Linked DNA regions of Canis lupus familiaris. The protein of the gene in region 2 interacts with the protein of the main gene of each other region in a pairwise test. Links are inferred from orthologs where the notes say so. Each region holds a gene or a part of one and is shown on either strand. Other genes may lie near its edges.

Region 1 (6,098 bases), on a different chromosome or scaffold from region 2:
CTTCTCCCTCTGCCTGTGTCTCTGCCTCTCTCTCTGTATCTCTCATGAATAAGTAAATAAAATCTTAAAAATAGTAATAAAAAATAAAAATGAGGGATTAGCAAAAAGTCACATAATGCCGGCCTTGGGCACTCGTCCCAAGCAGCAATCAAGAAAAAGCAGCCATTGGGGCAACCGGGTGGTTCAGTGGTTTAGCGTCTACCTTTGGCTCAGGTCCTGATCTCCAGGTCCTGGGATCAAGTCCAGCTTCCGGCTCCCCGCAGGGAGCCTGCTTCTCCCTCTGCCTATGTCTGTGCTTCTCGCTATCGCTCATGAATAAATGAATTAAATCATTTTTTTTTTTAAAGAGCAGCCATTGAGATGGTAACATATCCAAGAATTAGAGTTTGGAACACAGGATTTGATAAGAGTTAGAGTTCAAAATGGCCTTCAGTTTCAGGGATCCACCTGAAAAAAAAAAAAAAAAAACTCTGCTTGCTCCTGTTAACAACTACAAATCTCTCTCTCTTTTTTATGATCAAGTCTTATGTACACCAGCACAGCTGGGAATCTGGGACAAAAAGTCATTCAACTCCAAAGGTCTTGATAAGATCTCCTCGAATGCATTTTTTCCCTTTCCTTTTTTTTTTTTTAAGATTTTATTTATTTATTCATAGAGACACACACAGAGAGAGAGAGAGAGAGAGAGAGAGAGAGAGAGAGAGGCAGAGACACAGGCAGAGGGAGAAGCAGGCTCCATGCAGGGAGCCCGACATGGGACTCGATTCCAGGTCTCCAGGATCACACCCTGGGCCGAAGGCGGCGCTAAACCGCTGAGCCACTGGGTCTGCCCCCTTTTCTGACTAAATCGCTCACCACTATCCTATATATCCCTCTATGAGATACTTAAAAAACATTAAAATCTTGATTTGGCAGAAAAGCCAAATATCAAGCTTTAGTCCTCTAGAATAATTGGTATTTACCATATGACCAACTGGCTCTTCCAGAAAGAGCTCAAGTACAGTATGTGCTGACACCTATCGGTAGACTAAAAAACATGTCCTCACTATAGGACTAGTTCACAAAACATACTCTCAAGAGTAGGTACTTCTTGAACAGAGAAATCTTAAAATTACATCTTGAGAAAGAAATTCCCTTCCCATTTTTACAACCTCTTTCCGAAGACAAGTTAGATCTCAGGTTCAAATCCTGAGTCTACTACTTCGTAGCTGTGTGACCTCAAACAAGATAATTAACCACTCTGAGCTTCAGTTGTCTCCTCTGGGGGAAAAAAAAAAGGCAGCAGCTATCTCAAGGCAGTTAGCAGGAAATGAACAGTGTTTGCAAGCCTCCATTAACTAATCTTAGGAAAATATAACCGCAACCTTAGGTGGCTTACAAATTACAAAACTTTAAGATAATTCTAAAGTCTGGATTAGGGCAGGACTCCCAAGCGTGTGGTAAGCACTCAAGAGTGTGTTAAAGTGGTAACTGCGGTAAGTGTAATGGTCTTAGAGTCGAGTCCTAGCAAGGTTAGAGAAATGCCTGAATTATGTAATCTTACTGTTTTTCCTGAACAAAAAATCCCAAAGAAGGGCACCTAGGGTGGATGATGCCTCCCATGTGACCTAGAGGTAGGTAAAAGGGGGGGAAAGTCCCCGCGGGACCGGGTGTTTACCTTCCTGACACCCAAGATACCTTGAGAAAATCCAGAGTAAAGTTCTAAGTCAGCCACCGTGAGACCAGGGCGAGAGGACAGTGGTCTGTGGGTAGTGCACCGAAATTCGACACCAAGGCACTGAGACAGGACTCTCCACTCCGCCTGAAATGTGACTCCAGGCGAGGCACTTACCCTCAGCGCTCCCAGGGAAGTGCGAGGCGGCCGGGCCCGCTAACCAAGGCAGCTTACGCCCGACCGCACCAGTAAGTTTCTCTGAAATCACCTGGTGAACAGCGCGTTAGACAAACATAAAACGGCCAACGCAGGAGTAGCTAGTCCGGGTTCTGCAAAGCGCTCGGCTCGAGAAGCCCGGCCCACAGAAGGGAAAGGGTGGGGAGCCCGGCGAGGGCAGCCGCAGGCCGGGTCGCCGCCCCGGAACGGCGCCGACGCCCGGGGAAGGGTGGGGAGCGGCGGGCGGCGAGGCGAGACTCCCGCAGGCCGCCCCGCCCTACTCACACCCGGAAAGAACCGAACCCAGGAGCCAGGCACCAGCGCCATGGCCGGCTGCCGCCGCTGCGCCTCACGGCCCCACGGCCCCACGGCCGCACGCTCTCTCCGACCCCCGCCCACCAGGCCACCCAGCACCGCCCACACCCACTCAACGGACCCGCGGCAGCCCCGGCCTTAAAGCCGGCGCCGCCTGACGACAGGCTGACGTCATACGTGACGCCGTGGCGGGCGGGAGCGGAGACGGCACGGGAGGGCGTTTCCGGAGCACGCGCCCGGCGAGGGCCGCTGACGTCGGGCTCAGGTGCGCGCGCTTGCCCGCCCGCCCGAGCGCGGCCCAGGTGGCGGCCCGCAGCGCCAGGTGGCGGCCTGCAGAGGTGAGGGGCGACCCGCGGGGCGGGCGCGGGCGCGGGCGCGGGCGCGGCCGGGGGCGGCGGCGGGAGGGCGTGTCGCCTTGCACTCACGTGACGGGCGGGAAGGTTGGGGTGTGGGCGGTGAGGCGAGCGGGGTGGGCCCGACCCCACCCCCGAGGGCCTGCCCGCCGCTGCGGAGGACCTTCCCTCGGGCTGGGGCCGGACCCGCCCCGCCCCGCCACCTACCCCGCCGCCTGGTTGTCCGCGGCGGCCCGCGCGACCGCCGGAGCTGACCGCGGTTGTCTCCTCCGCAGGGCCGCGGCGAGAGGGTGAGAGTCCGCGCGTTCCGAGGGAGCCGTCCCCGCCTTGGCCCGCGCCCCGCGGGGCCCCGCCGCACCCGAGGGGATGGAGAGCGGTCCCCGAGGCCCCAGCGCTGCCCGCGATCCCACGCTGGCCGGCTCTCGCTAGCTGCTCGAATTGTGCGTTTTCCCACAACCTAGGCCTTGTCTCCTGAGTCAGTGGCGTTGCGATTCGAAAGAAATGGAAGAAAAGGAGCGATGTGAACAATTCTGCTCGGTCCTCCTGCATTGAGGCCTGGTTGGCATTTGCAGAGAGGAAGATACGGGAAGAAAATCGTGGGGTTTTTTTTTTGGCGGGGAGAGTGGGAGAAAGGAAACAAGGTTTTAGATTTTCTATGATTTTTTTTAAAATTCTGCACTTTGACAGTGGTGGCGAAATACACTAATCCAAAAGTGATCTTTCTATTGATGGAGGTGGATTTTTTTTTCCCTTTTGATTCCAACCTTTCTCCCCGTGACAAAGCATAAATCATGGACACCAAAAAATAAGGTGGACCTCAGGAATCCCGAAAGGACTGAGCAGCTTACATTCTTCCTCTGGAGGGAAGGGTGGTGTGTTTTTAGCCATCTCTGGAACCTAAAACGAAAACATGAGTTGCGTGCCATGGAAAGGAGACAAGGCCAAATCTGAATCTTTGGAGCTGCCCCAGGCAGCACCCCCACAAATCTACCATGAGAAACAGCGCAGGGAGCTTTGTGCCCTGCATGCCCTCAATAACGTCTTCCAGGACAGCAATGCCTTCACCCGGGAAACGCTGCAAGAGATTTTCCAGAGGTAGGGGACCCCTTATCCTTGGCATTTTTACACTTTTTGCTATTTCTGAATTCCGGGGGGAGGGGCAATGTCTCCGCTATATAAACCTTTAAACCAACAGGTATTATTAGGTAACTGTTGTTAGCAGGTACAGGGGATACAGAGATGAGAAAAATAATAATCAGTATCGTTGACTGAGCACTTACTATAGGCAAGGCACAGTGCTAAAAACCCTCAGTCGTGTCATCTGGTGTGATCCCCCAACAGTCCCATGGAATATGTGTTGCTTCTTTTCCATTTTATGGACATAGACTTCAGAGAAGCTCAGCAACTTGCTGGAGGCGACATAACAAGAGATAGAGCCAAGTTTTATTTCAGACTTGTATCTGTGCTGTTGACCAGGATGCTGTAATGCCTCTCAAGTCCTACCCCCAAGAGGTTATAGTCTAGAAGGGGAACAAGATCTGTGTACACTGGGTCATCTGTCGTCAGAGGTGGTTTGTTGCAGGTTTTATAAGGAAGGTGTTCCGCTATACATAGTGCTCAGCTTTTCCATAAGGCCATACTCTGGCCTTGGTGCATTTTATACATTATGCTTTGCTTTGTATAGCTTTTTCCAGCAGTTATTTTACCATCTCTATTTTACGGATGGAGCAACAGGCAGAAAAGCCAGATAGTTTGCCCAAATAGCTTTCAAGTAGCCAAGCTATGACTTGAAGCTGACTCTAGACCTCTTTCCCTTTCTACTTCATTCTGGATGGCTTTTTTTTTTTTTTTTTTTTTAAACCAACACTTTACTAAATGCTGCCTGACAGGTTAACAGAAGTTCAGTTTTTTCTCTCTCTACTTTGATGTTCTAAAATTCTTTTATCACAGGGTTTAAGAATTAGTTCTTTGGTGTCTGGATGGACATAGCAGCATGAGTGCTACTTCCTGAGTATCAGAAAGGCATGTCAGAGCAATTCTATCATCAGTACCCATTCAGCCTGCTAGTGAGTTGGGCCTGGATCTAAAGATACAGACTGTGGTTATAAGCTGTTTGTGGATAATTGCAAGATTCTTTCAGTTGTGTTTTTCCTGAATGAAAGAATGCTAAATATTTGCTAAACTCTCACATGGAACCAAAGTTCTATTCCTGGCTACTAAAGCTCTAGCAAATTTGTACTACGCTCTCCAGTTTCCTGTCAGCGCAAGGTAAAGGTTCATCTCAAAGTAATAGCAAACCAGTGCATAAGAAAATATCCTCTATTCTCACTCCAGAGGCTGAATTCTATGTATTTTGTATGGAAAGATTCAGCGTGGATAAATGGAAACAAAGAAGTATGAAAGGGATCAGAGGAAAGAGGAAAGGGAGAAGAGGTGAGGAAGAGAAGATGGAATTTTATAAACAAACATTTGCTAGCAGCCTGCTGTGTGCCAAGCCCTGCTAGGCACTGTAGAGAAAACAAGTTGAACAGGACTCAGCCGCTAAGTACATCCCAGAGCTCTACATTGACCAGACCTTGAGAATAAACTTAAGTGAAGTTAGAACCTTAGAATTTAGAGCTGTTTGAAAGGGAAAAGATGATCTCTTTGGATCATAATGGGAAGAATAGTAATGATGGCAGGTTAAACTAGATAATTTTAAATTCTCAGATACAAAGTTTTATGCTTTTTTGAAGATGAGGCTGATGAATGGTAGAAATGGGAGAAAAATTTTGATGAATGCTGTTTGTTGAAAGGAAGCTCATCCTAGCAGTCGAATTTTAGCCAGATTAAAAAGGAGAAATACAAAAGCAGGGTGGAGTTTTCAGTACAGTTGTGGATATGAGATGACTCATGTTTGGAATAGAAATGAGTAGGGATTTAGAAAAAACTAAAACCAATGGCCGGCAGCATGGGGACGGGGAAGAGAGGAATCAAGGTGGCAGAGTCTCAGTCCAAGAGTTGAACATAGTGATAACAACCATAGTGATGGCAGAAGAGGTCACTGGTTTGGAAAGGATCAGTTTTCAACATGTGAAATTGGAGAAAAGCTCAGAATCTGGGCAGGTGTCTTCGTGCACATTATACAGACTCGGATGTCTGATCTCGTACATCTCATCATATAGGAGTCAAATGATGTAGTAGTAGTTTTGCTGAGTTGTTTGGAAAATCCTCAGGCCTCAATCTATTTTCATAGACTCAACTCAATTGTTCAGTGATTAGATGTTCTTGCAGCAAGTATGCATCCCTCTTCCTCCAAAAAATAGCTGTTAAAATCTAAATAGATGAAAAGTAGGTTGGTCCCACTTGAAAAATCTAATGCAAGCTGGAAGAGACAAAGAGATTTTAGATTTTGGTGAACAACCAGCATTCTCTACCACAAAGAAGTCCAGCCTTCCCATTAAAAAGTCCCTGAGCAAGTGGAAGGTGGTGGTAAATTGCTCAAAGAGATGGAGTACTAACCTCTAGAGATTTAAATCATTTTGTCAAGGGCCAGGCAAACACAGCATCATCATTGCCAA
Region 2 (5,983 bases):
TGCTGAGTTTGAGAAGTTGGCCCAAATCAAAGCACAATTAAAACCCACTGGAATGCTTCAGTGCCTTCAGCTCAGAGGTTCCACTCTCATTCTGCTCCTGCCCTCCTGTTCTTTTTCTGTCTCTGGAAGGTGCTGCAGGATCATGCTCAAGCCCAGGAGGGAAGGTCAGGGAATCCTGTTGGGACAGTACAGACTGTTGACCTATCACTTCTGCTTCTAGCTCAGTAAACAGCAGTATTTGGGTAAGTCAAAGAATACAATCCTTGCATATTGGAAATTCAGACTTTCTGCCACATGAACTGTGGATCTCTCCTTGGGTTCATGGAAGAGGGACTAGCATCTCAGGGCTTAATTCTTCAGTGACAAAAACAGAGCTGTCTTTCCCTTACATACCAGGCTTTGCTGTGCTTGGAGCTCAATTTCCAGAGCATTGGCTGTGCGTTTCAGTTCCAGGATCTCTGTCTGGCAGTCTTGCAGCTGCTCTGCGCTGCACAGCTGCTGCTGATTCAGCTCCTCTGTCTGTAAACCAGGTATGATTAGAGGATGCAAATAAGGCAGAAGTCTGGAAGCTTGTCATTTTCTTGCTCTGGGTACTGACCTGAACAGCAAACCATTCTTCCACGTCTCTACGGTTGTTGGCCAGCACGGTTTCATACTGACAACGCATCTCTTCCAGGACCCTGTTGAGGTCGATGGTGGGGGCAGTGTCCAGCTCTACACTGAGTCGGTCACCCAACTGTCCACGAAGCAAGTCAACCTCCTGAAAGAGGAAATGGAGTAAAGAAAGTCACAGAGTGGTGGGGAAGAAGAATTCACCTTGACATCCCAAGAGCATCCAATTTCTGGAGAAGTGAGTAAAAGTGTGGGATTTAGATTCAGATTGCTTAGGTTGACTCTCTTTTCATCATTCAGTCTCTGCATCCACAAAAGGTGTATAATAATTTTACCTTTCCTAGAGAGTTATTGTGAGAGATATGAGTTGATGTTCATATAAAGCACTTATGAAAGTCCTTGGCACATAGGAAGGTCTCAATAAATGCTATTATCATCAACACATGCTCAAAGGGAAAATATACCATTTTACATCATTAAGTTTTTCACTTTTTAGCTTTATCAACATGAGATAGTCATATACTTCGTATTTTATGATTTAGAAAGTTTATAGATGTAGAATATTTTAAAATATTGGTCCAAATATTGCATAAGATGTTATCCCCTTTCTGAAATGGCCTTCATGCCCTGTGTTTATCAGCCTGATTTTTGTAGCTTATGGATTAGAGTTATGTGGCATAAAGCCTCCAAGGAAAGCCATTTGTAAAGTTACCTCCTTCACGAAAGCAATAGCAGGTGAACAATTTGGTCTTTCAAGTGGTACTAGCCAGGGCCCATTTCACATATACACCCAGAGATATGCCAGAGTCATCAGGCTGGACATTAGTGCCTCGAGTAATTTTGTTCCAGCTTTAGCAATATCTGCCCGAGTTTGATTTATATACACAAAACGAAATCTATCAGTTTGACTTTGTCACCTCCACATTCATTCAGCAATTTTACACTTTCCTTACCTCTTTGTGGTTTTTCTTAAGGCAAAGGAGATCTTCCTTCAGAGACTCCACATGGGCCTCCAGATCAGCTTTGCACAGAGTCAGCTCATCCAGGATCCCACGCAGGCCACCAATGTCCGTCTCTATCAGCTGGCGAAGAGACAGTTCAGACTCATACCTTTCACAGCAAAAGAGATACAGATGGTGCTTATTTTGCTAGACACTGTGCAAGATGCTGGGCATGCTGATGAATGACACAACGACTCAAGGAAGCTATATCCCAATTAATGTGAGCTTTGTGAGCATTCTTAGCTTAAAAAAAGCTTATGTAGAGAATATTTGTAGTGTGCACGTGTGTGTGTGTGTGTGTGTGTGTGTGTGAGAGAGAGAGAGAGAGAGACAGCCATGAATTATTTTCAAATTCAAATTTAACTTACTTTGACCTAAAGTCATCAGCAGCCAGTTTGCAGTTGTCAAGTTGCACAGCAAGTCTGGAATTTTCTGCCTTCGTGCATAAGATCTGGTAAGTAAGTTAGTTATATATACTAGAGGGCTCTTTGAAAGAAACTTAAATATTTATTCATTTAACAACTATACCATTATTTATCTTTTAAAAGTCTTTATAAGACAGTATAAAATAGCTTGAAGCCTATTTTTCTTATTAAGCATGTCACTTCAATGAAGAAAAAAGCAGGACCATTCATAAAATAAATATAGAAATAAAAAGGGTCCGTTTTTCAGTGGCCTAAAACATTTTGCAATATTCCTTGGCAGTTGAACTTGGATTTTTCTCCATAGGTAGTTGTGAGTGAGTTTATTTTGGCCATTCAATGATTACTGGCAGCCCCACGGCTCATGCTAATTTTTGCTGAATTTCAGCCCACCACCTTTTCCTCCTGGAGAACCCCTTTCCCTGGGGATGGGGGGAACTTCCATAGAACAGCCTTTTTTTTAGTATAAAGATAAAGCAAATCACAGATTGGGAGGGTGAAGCATTAGGGCAATGAAACACCAGACCTTTTGCTGAAGCTCTTCAATAGTGTCAAAGTAACACTGATAATCAGGGCACACCAGTGGGATATCCTCTTCACATTGTTCTCGAATCCTGCATTCGAGCTCTGCGTTCATCTCTTCCAGGCCACGGACCTTCTCTAGATAGTTGGCAAGTCTGTCATTCAGGAACTGCATCGTCTCCTTCTCATTGCTGTTGAACACCCCATCCTCACACCAAGCACAGTTCCCCACCAAGCAAGGAATATTATAATTCCCAGCAAAGTAGCATGGTGTGAGGCAACTAGTTGGCAAGCGAGACCTGGATAGGAAGCTAGGGGTCTGGCATCTGGATGTAGCAGGGGCACTGGGGAGGCAGGTGGCCTCCATGGAACAGGTTGAAGCAAGTGCACAGTCGGAAGCCTGGGCACAGGATTCAGAAGAGCAGCACGTGGGGAAACAGTCAGAAGTCATCCTATTAGAAGTGAAGAACAAGACTAGTTGCAAAACTCCAATTGACTGGTTCCCAGAGTCTCCATCCCTCCTGAGACTTTTATACAGCCTGCAAATGGGTATTTACAGAACATACCGGATGTTCTGTTTATCACTGTTGGTGCCAGTTTTCATATGAACATTCATTAGTGTTGTTTGTTTTCTGAGGAAGTTTTATGCCTCATAAAAGAGGCATAGCTTCAGGTTACTAAGTAAGGGCAATATTTCCATCTGCCAGTAGGATAAGACGCTTGGTTCAGAGAATCTTCATGAGATGCATTATCTTTTTGGTAGAATACAGAAAGGCAGAGGACATTTGGCACTCAGTAATTGCAGATACAACTGATTACAAATAACAAAAATGATATTATCACAGATTTTGCTCCTGTATTGTAAATTGTTTATCTATCCTTTTAAAATTCATATTACATCTCATTAAATGCCATTTATTTGTTTGTGTACCATCATAAAATGTTCCATGTAGTTAACCATCTTTGCAATGCTTTTTATGGTCTTGTTGTGCTCACATGGTAGAGGAGTGAGGTGTGTACTGGGTTTAAAGTGTGTGTGCACATGCATATGTGTGTGTGTGTGTGTGTGTGTATGAACTACATCTACCTGTGTGCAAATTGAAAAGTCACTTTATAAATAACTGATGGGCATAATCTGTGGCCTGCAGGCCAAAATACAAACTGGTTATCAAGATCTGGAGTTGTGATCTTTGATTTCCTGAAACTTGCTTTCTCTATGTTACCTATGCCTCATTTTTAGATTATGTATACTATTTTCACCTGTATTAATAATAAGAGTGAAATACAATTTCTAAGTTACAATCTTTTAGTTTCTTGGGAAACTAAACCCTCATTGGATACAGTTCAGAATAGGGGCAAGGAAGCTATAAAAGACTTTTCTTCTGAGATAGAATCTGTTTTCTCTTATTTACTTATTTTTTTAAGGTCACAATTTCATAAAAATGTGAAATACTGGCGTTGGGGAATAAAATTTTATAATTTGAGTTCCAGACCAGGAGTTCCATTGGATGAAATCCCTGGTGCAGTACCAAATGGATAGCGATTTGAGACATAACTTTTTTGGATTTTGTTTTGAATTTCATCTCTATTATGTATGTAGCATAATCTCTTTCACTTTCCTTGGCATAATTGTGGTATGTATTTCATTTTCAAAGGTGGGCAGAACAGATTGCCTCTAGAATCTTTAAGATTTTTACTGGAAAAGGCCCACTATTCTGACAAAGTTAAAATTTTCATGATCCAGAAAAAACTAAAAATTTTTTTCTAACTCTGAACACTACTTCCTAGGTAGCTGATGATGGAAAAACCAAAACCAAAAACAAACCAAGAGGTCTTAAATAGATGGACTTAAATAGTCCCTTAGTATGTATTACTCTCCCATCTAAATACTAACCGGGCCTGACCCTGCTTAGCTTCCAAGATCAGATAGGATTGGAACACTTTCAGGGTGGTATGGTTGTAGACTCTTGGGTTTGATTTTAGTGATTCTCTTCACATTTCAACACTTAATGCTAAATGTTCTTTTTTTATCTTTCAAGATTTTATTTAAATTCAAGTTAGTTTACATATAGTGTAGTATTAGTTTCAGGGGTAGAATTTAGAATTTAGTGATTCATCAGTTGCATACAACAACCAGTGCTCATACCATCACTTGCCCTCCTTAATACCCATCACCCAGTTACCTCATCCCCCCACCCACTTCCCCTCCAGCAACCCCCAGTTTGTTACCTATGTTTAAGAGTCTCTTATGGTTTGCCTCCCTCTCTGTCTTTGTCTTATTTTATTTTCCCTCTCCCTTCCCCATGTTCATCTGTTTTGTCTCTTAAATTCCATATGAGTGAAATCATATGGTATTTGTCTTTCTCTGACTGACTTATTTTGCTTAGCATAACACCACCCATGCCATTGTTGCAAATGGCAAGATTTCATTCTTTCTGATGGCTGATTAATATTTCATTATATGTAATGGAATATTATATATATATATATATATATATATATCACATCTTTATCCATTCATCAGTTGTTGGACATTGGGGCTCTTTCTATGTTTTAGCTATTGTGGATTGTGCTGCTATAAACATTGGGGTGCATGTGCCCCTTCGAATCACTATTTTTGTATCCTCTGGGTAAATATCTAGTAATGCAACTGTTGGGTGGTAAGGCAGTTCTATTTTTAACTTTTTGAGGAACTTCTATACTGTTTCCCAGAGTGGCTGCACCAGCTTGCATATCCACCAACAGTGTGTGAGGGTTTCCCTTTCTCTGCATCCTCACCAACATCTGTTGTTTCCAAGTTGTTAATTTTAGCCATTCTGACCAGTGTGAGTTGGTATGTCATTGTGTTTTTTTTTTATAAATTTATTTTCTCATTGTGGTTTTGATTTGTAGTTCCCTGATGATGCATGATGTTGAAGATTTTTTTAAAGATTTTATTTATTTATTCATGAGACACACACACACACACAGAGGAGAGAGAGAGAGAGAGAGAGAGTCAGAGACACAGGCAGAGGGAGAAGCAGGCTCCATGCAGGGAGCCCAACGTGGGACTCGATCCCAGGTCTCCAGGATCATGCCCTGGGCTGAAGGTGGCGCTAAACCGCTGAGCCATCCGGCTGCCGGATGTTGAAGATTTTTTAATGTGTCTGTTAGCCATTTGTATGTCTTCTTTAGAGAAATGCCTGTTCATGTCTTCTGCCCATTTCACATTCTTGGAGTACTGATGGTATATTAATGCTGTTCTGCAATAGATGGGAGTTCAAGGAATCAAAAACATATTTGAAAATTGAAAGTTACAAATCTCTGAAAAAAAAAATCTAATTTCCACAGTAACTGAATGAGAATCCGTGTCTTGGTTGTCTGTCATAGGTTTCAGCTAATTAAAATGCAGCATTGTGTCATTATTTTAAAGTAACTGCAGGTAAA
Region 3 (6,011 bases), on a different chromosome or scaffold from region 2:
GGGTGGCGCAGTGGTTTAGCGCCTGCCTTTGGCCCAGGGCGCGATCCTGGAGACCGGGGATCGAATCCCACGTCAGGCTCCCGGTGCATGGAGCCTGCTTCTCCCTCTGCCTATGTCTCTGCCTCTCTCTCTGTGTGTGACTATCATAAATAAATGAAAAAAAATTTTAAAAAAAATTCAGGAACCGGGATCCCTGGGTGGCGCAGCAGTTTGGCGCCTGCCTTTGGCCCAGGGTGCGATCCTGGAGACCCGGGATCGAATCCCACGTCGGGCTCCCGGTGCATGGAGCCTGCTTCTCCCTCTGCCTGTGTCTCTGCCTCTCTCTATCTTTCTCTGTGTGTGTGACTATCATAAATAATTTTAAAAAAACATTAAAAAAATTCAGGAACCAAACATATTCAGGTAAATTCTCCAAATGCTTACTATCCATATACAGGAACTGAAAGGATTTGGATACACCTGAGGTAGAACCGCTATCCCCCACTCTCTGAGCTTTCCCTCACCGGACAAAATGCAGGAGCCAAATATATTCACACAACACAGTACTCTTACTATCCCAACTCTTGCCACTGGAGCTCAGGGAGATGAATCAATTTGAATATATTTTTTAGTTGGAGTCGTTATCCCTCATTATCTGAACCCTCCCCACTCACTATGTAAAATGCAAAAGCAAAAAACCTCCAGGTAACTTGGTATCTTTCACTGTTGGAATTATCCAAGCTCTCCCTCTCAGAAGTCAGGTGCCAAACAAACATCAGAACAATGAAGGACACTTGTGTTGTTATTAATAGGTTCGGGTAGAGGCACCTGGGTGGCTCAGACAGTTAAGCATCTGACTCTTGATCTTTTTTAATTCAGCCCATCCCTGACCCTCAGACCCTCCTTTATTTATTTTTAAATGTTTTTTTAAATTTTTATTTATTTATGATAGTCACAGAGAGAGAGAGAGAGAGAGGCAGAGACATAGGCAGAGGGAGAAGCAGGCTCCATGCACCGGGAGCCCGACGTGGGATTCGATGCCGGGTCTCCAGGATCGCGCCCTGGGCCAAAGGCAGGCGCTAAACCGCTGCACCACCCAGGGATCCCTGACTCTTGATCTTAACTCAGGTCTTGATCTCTCAGGATTGTGAGTTCAAGCCCCATGTTGGGCTCCATGCTGGGTGTGGAGCCTACTTAAAAAAAAATTAGGTTTGGGACACCTGAATGGCTCAGTGGTTGAGCATCTGCCTTCAGTTCAGGTTGTGATCCCGGGGTCCTGGGATCAAGTCCCGCATCAGGCTCCCCTCCAGGGAACCTGCTCCTCCCTCTGCCTATGTCTCTGCTTCTGTGTCTCTCATGAATAAAATCTTTTAAAAAATAGGTTTGGATAAATGTTTTAGATAAATGACATGGGTCAAATATCTTGTTATTCAAGTTCTCACTACTCTCTATGACAAATGCAGGAACAAAACAGAACTGAATAACATGTTACCTTCTCACTATCCAAATTCTCCTTGCCTGTCCTCAGAATCAAGAAGATTCAGTGAGAGAATCGAGAATCTTGTATTGCTTTTATTGTTATTGTCACTACTGGATAGGACTGAATCTAACACTCAGTGACACAAACACACACACACACACACACACCTGCCCCACAGAGGTGGGATGGACTTAGCACTGCCATTTGTATTGCTTACAATTGAGAGAAGGGGGATAGAACGCCCCATCCCCATCTCACCCCTACCAAGCCTCTGGCTTGGAATGGACTTTTTCAGGCCAGGAAAGCAGAGATCATGTACACCTAGGTTCAGGACTAGGAGATAGGGGTAACATGACATGGAAGGTTCCCACATACCCCTGTGTTCCCCACTCCTGCATGTTTGCTCACCACACCCCCCACCTTGACATGGGGCAGCCCCCAACCTAGCCAGGCTGGAAACATGATCCAGATCTCAGACTCCCAGAGAGTCACTGAATAATTTAGGGTGTTCTTTCACACTTGGGGAGGGTGGGGGGTGTAGGAACAGTTCCATGCCCCCCTGGGGCAGGCAGACAAATGCAAGCTCTGCGTGAGATCACTGGGTGGGGGTGAAGGACATCACAAACGAAAACCTCCTTAAGCCACACAGGGCCCACAAGGCTTCTTGCTCTTGTTCATGCTGAGAGGCATTTGGGATGAACCCGAGATAATGGGAACATTGGAACCTCTGAGTTCAGGGGCAGGGTATAACAGGACTCAGTTCTTCTGGGCTCAGATGAGATGGAAAATGGGTGTTAGGAAGAGGGAGATCTGACTGGAGTGGAGGGGCATGGTAAGGGATAGGATGGGGGCTTCAGGTTGGGAGAGGATGAAGAAAGAGAACAGGAAGGAGCACAGAGGGCAAGAGAGAATCGGAGTCATTGTAGGATGGAGGTCAGGAGGCAGGACAGAGAAGGAGCCAAGACACTGGCCAGGGGGTGAGATGGAGTGAGGTTCAGGACAAGGGTCAGAGAAAAAGTAGGGGGCAGCAAAGAACAAAAGAGCAGGGCAGGGTTAGTATAGGATAGCTCTCAGAAATGATGATGACTGGCCAAGACAGTGCTCAAGGAAGGGGATAGGGAAAAGGGCAGGTTCAGGATGGAAGTAAGGAACAGGAAAAGACTGGAACAGAATAAGGATAGGAATGAGGACAGTGATGGGACAAGAGAAGTCAGGGGAAAACAGCACGGGGCTGGGGGCAGAGACAGGGCAGGAAACAGAGGGATGGTCTAAAGGGGGTGGGCCAGGTTGGAGATGGGGAGTCAGGAGGGGACCAGGAGGATAGTACTGGGGGGAGGGAGAAAGTTTAGAAATCAGAGGTCAGGAATCCAGACAGACCTGGATCAGACTGCGGTTAGGGGGACAGGACATGACTGGAAGGGGTTCAGGGGCTGGACAAGAGTTTGGGGCACAGGCCAGAAACTGGGATGGTCGGGACAAGGCAAGATAGGCTTCAGAGATGGAACAGGGTCAGGCCAAGGATCCTGAGAACAGAACCGGGTGGAGTTTGGGGTCAGGACTGGGTTTGGGGGAACAAAACAGGGATTGCGGATCACGCCAGGCCAAAATATGGTTAGGTGGGGGGTCAGATCGGAGGTCCTGGGGCCAAGACTGGCCAGAGCTCGGGGTTAAAAACGGTGTAGTCAGGTCAGGTAGGGGTCGGGAGTGCGACCACAGGGTCAGAGGTCGCGGGTGCGCGCGCAGGTACATTCTCTGTTGGCGTTTCCGGGCCCTCACCCCGCCCTGTCTCCTCCCTTCTTCTCCAGGCGGGCGTTACTCACCGAGGGTCCTCGTCCCGCGACGTAGGCGGGGTCGCTGTGGGCCAGGAAGGGGGCTGGGTTGCGCCCCTCCCTCGCCGCCGCCCGCTCGTCCCCGGCCTCGCGCCTACTCCCTTTCCGCGCCCTGCCCGTGGGCCGCTTTTGGCCGCGCAAATGTCAGCCGTGGGGGCCAGACTGGAGGTGCGGGGAGGGTGGGAGAGGCGCGCCGGCTCGGCCGCGGTCGGTGGACCCCGGACCCCCCCCACCCTCACCTCGGGTGCGTCTGCTCCCAGCTGCACCGACACAGCCGTGGCTGAGCGCGAGCCTGGGGAGAGGTGGGGGGACGGGGGGCGGGGCGCGAGACCACAGCAGCGGCGGAGACCTAGTGCGCAGGCGCCAGTTTGGGTCTTCGATTTTCCTGCCCTCGGAGCGCCAGGAGCGAACCAGCTGGGAGCGCGTGCGCACACGCTTCCTCGAGGGCGGTGGAGCGCTCCCCCGCCGAGGCCACGCCCCCCCAGTGATCCGCCGGCTGCCCCTCACCCGGAGTCGTCCTCCCACCCCCCCCACCCGCAAACCCCCAAGCAGTACCCGAAACTGCCTTTTTGGGCCACCACCACGTCTCTAAACTCTCCTCTAAACTTCTGTGTCCCCCAAACCACCCTCCATCATTCCCCCAACTGTATCCCCAAACTATTGTTTATTGATCCCAAGCAATGCCCCCAATCCACCCTCCGTGGACTCCCAAACTGTGAGAATAAACTACCCTTCACTACCCCCAACTCGTTCCCCTAAACTGTCTGCAATCAGCCCTGAAACCATCAACCTCCAAAGAGCACTTCCAAATCACTCTTCCATCTATCCCCAGTACACACCGAAAACAACCCCATGGACCCCGAATCAGTCTCCATGTCCCCTCCTAACCATACTCTGCAGCCCAAAACTATACCTCCAAACCACTCTTCAATGACCACTATACCCAACCTTGTCTTTTTTTTTAAGATTTTTATTTATTTGTTCATGAGAGACACACAGAGAGAGGCACAGACAGAGGCAGAGGGAGAAGCAGGCTCCTCACAGGGAGCCCAATGAGGGACTTGATCCCAGGACCCCAGGATCACCCCCTGAACTTTGTCTTAAATTACATGCAACTATACCCACAAAACATCTTCCATTTTTTCCATACCTCCCAGACCACCCTCCAAAAACTCCCAACTACACCCTAAACTGTCTTAATAGTCCCCATGTTATCTGTAGACATTCCCCCTTTATCTTCCCAGTCTCCCAACGACACCTCCAAACCACCTTCCAGTGACCCACCAAACCCCTTGGTCTTTCCTTTGATTGTTCCAACAGTACCCAAACACTTTCCAATGGCTCCTAATTATACCCTCACACTCTCTTTGATAACCCCCAAGCAATCATCCCTCCAACAACCACCAAATCTATCCCAAGCCATCTACGTTAGCTTCCTGTGGCTGCTGTGATGAATTTTCACAAACTTGGTGGCTAACTATCTAAGAAATGTGTTCTCTCACACTCTCTGGGGGCCAGAAGACTAAAATCAAGGTGCCAGCAGGGCCATACTCCCTCCAGAGGCTCTAGGGGAGAATCTATTTGTCTGTCACCTCTCCCTACTCTGGTGACTGTCTGCATTCCATGGCTTGTAGCCACATCACTACAATCTGTTTCTTTGGTTGCATTGCCATGCATTCTGTCTGTGAAGTCTGCCTCTGCTTTCCTCTTCTAAGGACACTTGTTAGTACAATTAGGGTCTCCTTGATAATGTAGGATAATCTCCCATCTCAAAATCTTTACCTTAATTACATCTGCAAACTGCAAAGTCCTTTTCCTTTTTCTTTTTCTTTTCTTTTTTGCCATCTAAGGTACTCTCACATGTTCAAGGAATTAGGATGTGCATATCTTTTGGGGGCATCATTCACCCTACAACAGTATACCCTCAAAGATACACATCTATCCCACATGCAAAATACATGTACCTTATCCCAATACCCCTAATAGTTTCATCCATTACAGTATCAACTCAACTTCAAAATCTCACTTTGGTGTCATCAGCTCAAAGGTTCCAAATCTCATCATCTAAGTCAGGTATAAATGATACTCTGAGTATGATCCAACCTGAGGCAAAATTCCTTTCCATCTCCCAACCTGTGAAACTAGGAAACAAATTATCTTTTCCCAAAATACAGCGATGGGACAGATATAGGATAAGACTTACAGACATTCCCATTCCAAAGGGGAAAAATGGAAGGAAAAAAGGTGTCATTGGTCCCAAGTAATTTTTAAAAAGACTTTATTTATTTATCCATGAGAGTCACAGAGAGAGAGAGAGAGAGAGAGAAGCCAAGACATAGGCAGAAGGAGAAGCAGGCTCTATTCAGGGAGCCTGATGTGGGACTCGATCCCAGGACTCCAGGATCACACCCTGAGCAGAAGGCCGGAGCTTAACTGCTGAGCCACCCAAGTGTCCCGGTCCCAGGTAATTTTGAAATCCAGCAGGGCAAGTTCCATTAGGTTTCAAGGCCTGGGAATAACCCACTGTGGATTCAGGGCTCACCAATGGGCTCACCGCTCTGCCCTCAGAATATTTAATCCTTTCTTTTGAAGGGTAGCATTTTTTGCTGCTCAGTAGTATTAGCCATGTCCTTCCAGTAGAATTTTGGGAGTCCCACATTCTTCCTTCATTTCACCCTATCTCTGTTTCTTGCAAGCCAACTGGGCAGTGTTGCTGGCAGTAT
Region 4 (6,138 bases), on a different chromosome or scaffold from region 2:
TATTTTTAGACTACTATTTGGTGTGACCTAAGTATCCTAGCAAACCATGACATTCCAAGGGCCTAAGACCAATTCTCAGTAGCTACGGACAAATATCAGCCTCTTACTGAAGAAAATTAATTCTTCACTATATTTCACCTGTGGGAAAAGATGAACACTGTAAAATTTTGTTTCAGATTAGCATTAACATGAGTATTTACAATCAATTTTGATTAAAGGGAACACTAATTTTTAACTGCAGTGAAGTGCAGTGTAATCTCCCCCCAAATTTATTTTTCTCAATGCTAGACTTAATTACAAAAGAATATATTCAATTACCAATATAAAATTTTGAATTTTATCAATAAAATATGTGGAAATTTGTTATCTCTCTTGTTATATAATACCTAACATGTACCTATATGTACTACATAATATCCTTGATTTTACCTAAAGACTGAAATATTTACTATCTGATCCTTCACAGAAGAACCTCACCAACCTCTGATGTATAGTCTGATTTACAATAGTGCTGAAATCATTAAGTTTCATGGTTAACTTGGTGAGACTACAGACCTAATTATTCAATCAAGCACCCATCTAAGTGTTGCTGTGGAAGCATTTTGTAGATGTAATTAACATCTACAATCAGTTGACTTCAAGTAAGCAAAGGAGACTATTCTTGATAGTCTGAGTAGGACCAATCCAATCAGTTGGAAGGCCTTAAAAATGAATCTTCCTTGAAACAGAAGAAATTCCAGCTGTGTGGACAGCAGCTTCAGCTCCTGCCTGAGAAGGTCTAGCCTGCGCATCCTGATAGCCTGCCATATGGATTTGGGATGTGCCTAACCAGCCTCACATTCACATAAGCCAGTTCCTAGCAATACATATCTTAATGTTTATATATTTCTCCTACTGGTTCTGTTTCTTTGGGGGAATCCTGGCTGATTCAACTGCTCACTACAAAAGATTCTACCTAATCTGTGCTGCTACAAAACCATAAAGGAAATAACTTTAGATAAAATGAAGTTAATATTTTGCCATAGCTGACAGGCAGCTATGACATTGCCTAATCTATTTATATTGACACTCTAGTGTAAGGCAGAAAGGGGAAATGGGGGTTACTTTTTTTTAAAGATTTTATTTATTTATTAATGAGAGACACAGAGAAAGAGAGGCAGAGACACAGGCAGAGGGAGAAGCAGGCTTCCTGTAGGGAGCCTGATGCAAGACTTCATCCCAGGACCCTGGGATCACAATCTGAGCCAAAGGTAGATGCTCAACTACTGAGCCACCCAGGTGCCCCAGTGAGAGTTACGAATAAAGAAAATCCAGGAAGACTTTAATTCAGTCTTATCAATGTGGGTCAAAGAGACGTTTTTTGTTTCGTGCTAGCATCTGTTTCCAAAGCAAAAATGAGATTTTTCCAAAAAGTGTCTTGATTAGCCTAACTCTAGGACTCTTTTCTGGGGGCAACTGCTGTTGGCTCTCAGAGCACCTTTACCTCCTAACATTGTTGGTGAATCCTGTGCTTGTGTACAGAGGAGAGTTTTCTAGGGTTTTATCATATCTTCTTTCCTTTTTAAATATTTTATTTATTTATTTATTCATGAGAGACACAGAGAGAGAGGCAGAGACGTAGGCGGTGGGAGAAGCAGGCTCCCTGCAGGGAGCCTGATGTAGGACTCGATCCCAGGACTCCAGGATCACACCCTGAGCCAAACAAACGTAGTCGCTCAAGCACTGAGCCACCCAAGTGCCCCTTTTATCATATTTTCAAATGGGTCTATGGCACCAATAGGATAAAAGACTCAAATGACGTCCTCTGTAGGTGTATATTTAACTGTTATGTGTCGCCTGTTGTATACATTATCTCCTCTAATCCTCACAATAATCATATGAAGTACATACTAGTATCCCATTTTACAGTTGAAAACTGAATCTTAGGGCAGCCGGGTGGCTCAGCGGTTTGGCGCCGCCTTTGGCCCAGGGCCTGATCCTGGGGACCCAGGATGGAGTCCTGCGTCAGGCTGCCTGCACGGAGCCTGCTTCTCCCTCTGCCTCTGTGTGTGTGTGTGTGTGTGTGTGTGTGTGTGTGTGTGTCTCATGAATAAATAAATAAAATCTTAAAAAAAAAAAAGAAAACTGAATCTTAGAAAAAAGTGACATAGTTTGTCCTACTGGCATAGGCAATATAAGCAATAGAGTTTGGATTTGCAGTCAAATGCTCTACCACTGAGCTCTACTCTCTAAAGTGTGGATTTGAATTCACATCACATACCAAAGTTCCTGCTGGGTAGCTGTGGGAGAGAATTCTGTTCAGTCACTAAGCTGTTATCCCGGAACTTCTGCATTTGTGGTGGTGGCCTGGGTGGCCAAGTACCTGCTTAGCTTCTGCCCACTTGCCTGGGGAGGAACAAGTTGGAGGTGCCCCCCAAGTTTTGCTGGGGGCCTTCTGGCCTGCTAGCCACTAGCTTTCTAACATGCCCCAGCCCAATGGGAGGGAGGAAGAGGAGGAGCAGGGCACCCTGGGGAGAGGAGGGCGGGTCCTGAGAGGGAGTTTGAAAAGAGGAAGGAAGTGGGGCTCTGCGGAGCGCCTAGCCACCCCCTGGCTGCTTCCCCACAGGAGGACGCAAGGAGCCCGCAGCTCCCCTGGCCCAGCCATGGCCCCCTGGCGCAAAACTGACAAGGAGCGACACGGCGTGGGTAGGTGTGGGCAAGGGGTCCCCAGCAGGGGGAAGGTCAGGTGGCCTGAGATCCATGCACAGGAAGATGCTGAAGGAGCCTGCAGGGCGGCCACAGGCGGGGTACACTGACCCAAGGTCCTAGGGCTCAGTGACTTCCTCTGCTAGCTGCAGGGCCAGCTGGGCAGGGAGGAGGAGGCAGCGGGAGAGGAAAGTGGGCACGCTGCCCAGTTGGCTTTGCCCAGCCCATGCCCTCTCCCACTGGGCACAGATTGCTGTCTATCCCCCAACACTTCTGCATCCCCTAGGTGGTGGTTAGCCCAGTTGGCTCTGTGTGCCACAGTCCCAGTGTTTCAAGGAGTGGACTTCATCCCTCCATGTAGAGAGTTGGCCTCATAGAAGGAACACCCGCCCTCTCTGGCCTGGCCCAGCATGCCTTCTTCCACTCCTGTCCAAAAAGACACCCATCTGCCTGCTTCCCCTGTCTGTTTCTTCTGGGTCAGATGACTGCTTATTTGGTAGAGGCTCCAGAGAGCTGTACAGGCTTGTGGCGTGGGGTTGGAGAGCAGAGTCCTTCACTCAGCCTTGGAGAACCTCTGGGAAGAAAGGCTCCTTCCAGGTTATCCGGGGACATCCAAGAAGCCGGCCTCATCAGCTTCACCCATCTAAGCTCCCAGAAGCCTCTGCCTCAAGCTCAGGGGCGGAAGTGGTGGCTGGGGGAAGGGAAACTTCAGGTACTGGGACTACTAAGTGGCACCCGTGGTGCAGCCTCTGAAAACTCACTGTGGTTTTCAAATTTAAGTGTAAATTTGAAAACCACTGTATGGTTTCCTACACAGGCAGATACCAGACACCAACCCCAGAGAGGAGCATTGAACAGGTCAGAGGTTGGAGTACCCAGGCCCGGAGGGAGATTAGATACAGGGAGTCCCGAGGCCACTCCCAGGGAGAAATGCTTCCCTGGAGAGTTCAACATTTATCTCTTCACTTGCTGGGCTCTAGGCACTATGGAGTGTTTTAAAATAACGGTCCCCATCCAGAGAACAAATAATAATCTATATCCTTGAAGAGCTTCAGTTTCTTCATCTATAAAATGGGAAGTTTGAACTAAAACCACTAAGGACCATGTCTAACTTCACAGCTTCTCTAAGTCCAGCCCTATCAGCTGGGGGCATCAGGCTGAAATTCTTCTCAAGGGAAAATGGGAACTATTAAGTGGGACAGACCACTGTAGGCAGAGAGGCCAATGCAGTATAGGAGATGAAAGTGGGACATGAAGGGCATATCCAGGAAAGAAGACAGATGCTCCTTTTGCCTGAAAAGAATGATCGTACTTAAAGTAAGCTGGAGCCACATTTTGGAAGGGTATAAATGCCAGGCTAAGAAATTGAGACTTTTCCCACTTAGGCAATGGGGAGCCAAAGAGGGCTTCTGAGCAGGGAAGAGGCATGGACAGATTTGTGCTGAAGCCGGTGTGGAGGGAGGCTGAGTGAACAGAATGGCAAAGGTGCCTGGGTGGCAGATAGGAGACCGTATCGGTCCACAGTAAGTAGAGCAGTAAATTGCGGGAGATTTGAGCAGTGTGGAAGAGCCCTATCCTTCGTCCCAAGGGCTGCAGTGCATTCCTGCTGTGAAGGCCCTGTGCTATGCTGTGAAGATCATGGGCTCTGGTGCTAGACTGCCTGTTGTTGAATTCCAGCTTCTAACACTTTCCAGCCCTGTGACCTACACAAGCTACTTACTCCCTCCAGGCCTTAGTTTCCTTGTCTCCTTGTCTATATAATGGGGATAATAATAGCCCATGCCTCCCGGGTTGTTGTAGAAGTAAAGGAGTTCATTCACATAAAGTGCTTAGAATGACCATTATACAAAGCAGTCCTCACTAGATGTTATCAATTATTATTCTCAGACTTTGTCTTTTGCATAGGAGTTTAGTAGAGGACATGATACCATAGGATGGGACAGAGTTACAGGTTGGAGTAGGGGTCCCACCCTCTCTTGCAGAGGAAATCCAACCTATATGGTCAGGGATTAGGAACTCTGTTAGGCATTAGGCCTGAGGGCTTCTTGACCTGATGGTATAGCTGACATTTTTCATGCCTACTTATGAAAATTCTATTTCATAGGGAGTCAGAAGATCTATGACCCTCTAGGGAGCCAGACAGCACTAAGATAGGTGCCTACTTATCAAAGGGTGTCTCTTTTCTCTGCAGATAAATGCAGGACTCTTTCTTAGGCCTTCAGTAGATGGAAAGAAGAGGGAGTGTAATTTATGGTGGAATGGCGGACTGGAGTCATGGGACAGAAAGAACAGGGACCTAACATTAAGGAGTCTCGGTTATAGTTCTGACACCATCACTAGTTGCAGACAGATCTATGACAGATCTAGTTTTCTCATTGTAAGTCTAGGTATTAATATTTTTATATTTCAAGGTGTTCTTTTACAAAGAACATTTGAGATCATGAGTATGGGGGCTTGGAATAAGACAAAGAGAAACATAGAAAAGTTTAGTGGTTTATCAGAATATCTCTAGAGTCCAGCCAGGCCTAAAACACAAGAACCTGAGCTTTGCTTTCTTATTTGGTTTCCTCATCAGTGTTGGTGGCATTAGCCCGTTTTCGTCTGGTATAATTCACAAGGACTGCTCACGTCTCTGTCTTTTTGTCTCAGGGGCTGGCTTTACACGAGACAATTTCATCACCAGAAGCACTGGCTTCTTGCTCATCTTGTTGTCTGGTTGGCAGCCCCAGGAGACCTTCATAGAGATGCCTTGTCTGATTATTTTTCTTTCCTTGATGGAATCTTAATATGTGATCCGTTAGAATCCCAGAGAGTTCCAGAAGTGGAACAAAACAGTATGAATATGAAGTAAGAAAAGGCACAGACTGCCTTTGAAGAGATGTGTGAGGTTAGAAGCTTGGGCTGTGAAGTTAGAACTGATTTTAAATCTGGGCCTGTTTCCTCATCAATAAAGTGAGGTCTCATGATAATGTGGGTCTCATGAGGCTGTTGTAAAGATTGAATGGGGTAATCCATGAAAAGTACTTAGTAATGTGGTTGACTCAATCAAAGTTAGTGACTAAGGTAAGGGAGTTAACCTAATAGTTGTGGAGCCAAGAGAAACACAGAGTAATGCATCCTAATACCAGATTGAGGATGGTGATGCCTTCCAAGAGTGTAGTATTTTGTGGTTTACAAGACCCATTCTCATGCAATATCTTTGGCTCCAGAACATCTCTGTGAGGCATTATTTTCATTTTACAGATGAAGAAACCAAGACCCAGAGTTCATATAATTTAGAAGTACTTGGGCTTGGCCTTAAATTCAGTTGATTTCAGATCCCAGGTCCTTTGCACCATACAAGGAAGAAATCCAGGAGCAGGAGCATCACAGAAAAAGGCAGGATATTGGATATGTAGCATTTGGGTCAAACAATAAATATTCTGCTTTGGTTTTAGTAGATGTTTATAATGA

The links.
Region 1: the proteins of KRT40 (region 2) and JOSD1 interact in binary tests that used the Homo sapiens proteins (3 or more experiments, as listed by UniProt). The two-hybrid records come from large-scale screens. The link is inferred for Canis lupus familiaris from reciprocal best matches to the Homo sapiens genes KRT40 and JOSD1.
Region 3: the proteins of KRT40 (region 2) and CCDC120 interact in binary tests that used the Homo sapiens proteins (3 or more experiments, as listed by UniProt). The link is inferred for Canis lupus familiaris from reciprocal best matches to the Homo sapiens genes KRT40 and CCDC120.
Region 4: the proteins of KRT40 (region 2) and DOCK2 interact in binary tests that used the Homo sapiens proteins (3 or more experiments, as listed by UniProt). The two-hybrid records come from large-scale screens. The link is inferred for Canis lupus familiaris from reciprocal best matches to the Homo sapiens genes KRT40 and DOCK2.

Annotation. Positions count from the first base shown.
Region 1 is NC_049231.1:27,102,034-27,108,131, forward strand, and holds the start of JOSD1 (josephin-1), read left to right. Parts: upstream 1-2,504; 5' UTR 2,505-2,523; intron 2,524-2,813; 5' UTR 2,814-3,448; coding exon 3,449-3,633; intron 3,634-6,098.
Region 2 is NC_049230.1:21,657,647-21,663,629, reverse strand, and holds the start of KRT40 (keratin, type I cytoskeletal 40), read right to left. Parts: upstream 3,800-5,983; 5' UTR 3,009-3,799; coding exon 2,562-3,008; intron 2,068-2,561; exon of another isoform or gene 2,065-2,067; coding exon 1,982-2,064; exon of another isoform or gene 1,723-1,981; coding exon 1,566-1,722; intron 851-1,565; exon of another isoform or gene 761-850; coding exon 599-760; intron 531-598; exon of another isoform or gene 520-530; coding exon 394-519; intron 243-393; exon of another isoform or gene 130-242; intron 1-129. UniProt on the Homo sapiens protein: May play a role in late hair differentiation.
Region 3 is NC_049260.1:42,404,400-42,410,410, reverse strand, and holds the start of CCDC120 (coiled-coil domain-containing protein 120), read right to left. Parts: upstream 3,595-6,011; 5' UTR 3,280-3,594; intron 1-3,279. UniProt on the Homo sapiens protein: Centriolar protein required for centriole subdistal appendage assembly and microtubule anchoring in interphase cells. Together with CCDC68, cooperate with subdistal appendage components ODF2, NIN and CEP170 for hierarchical subdistal appendage assembly.
Region 4 is NC_049225.1:43,065,371-43,071,508, reverse strand, and holds the start of DOCK2 (dedicator of cytokinesis protein 2), read left to right. Parts: upstream 1-2,544; 5' UTR 2,545-2,642; coding exon 2,643-2,685; intron 2,686-6,138. UniProt on the Homo sapiens protein: Involved in cytoskeletal rearrangements required for lymphocyte migration in response of chemokines. Activates RAC1 and RAC2, but not CDC42, by functioning as a guanine nucleotide exchange factor (GEF), which exchanges bound GDP for free GTP.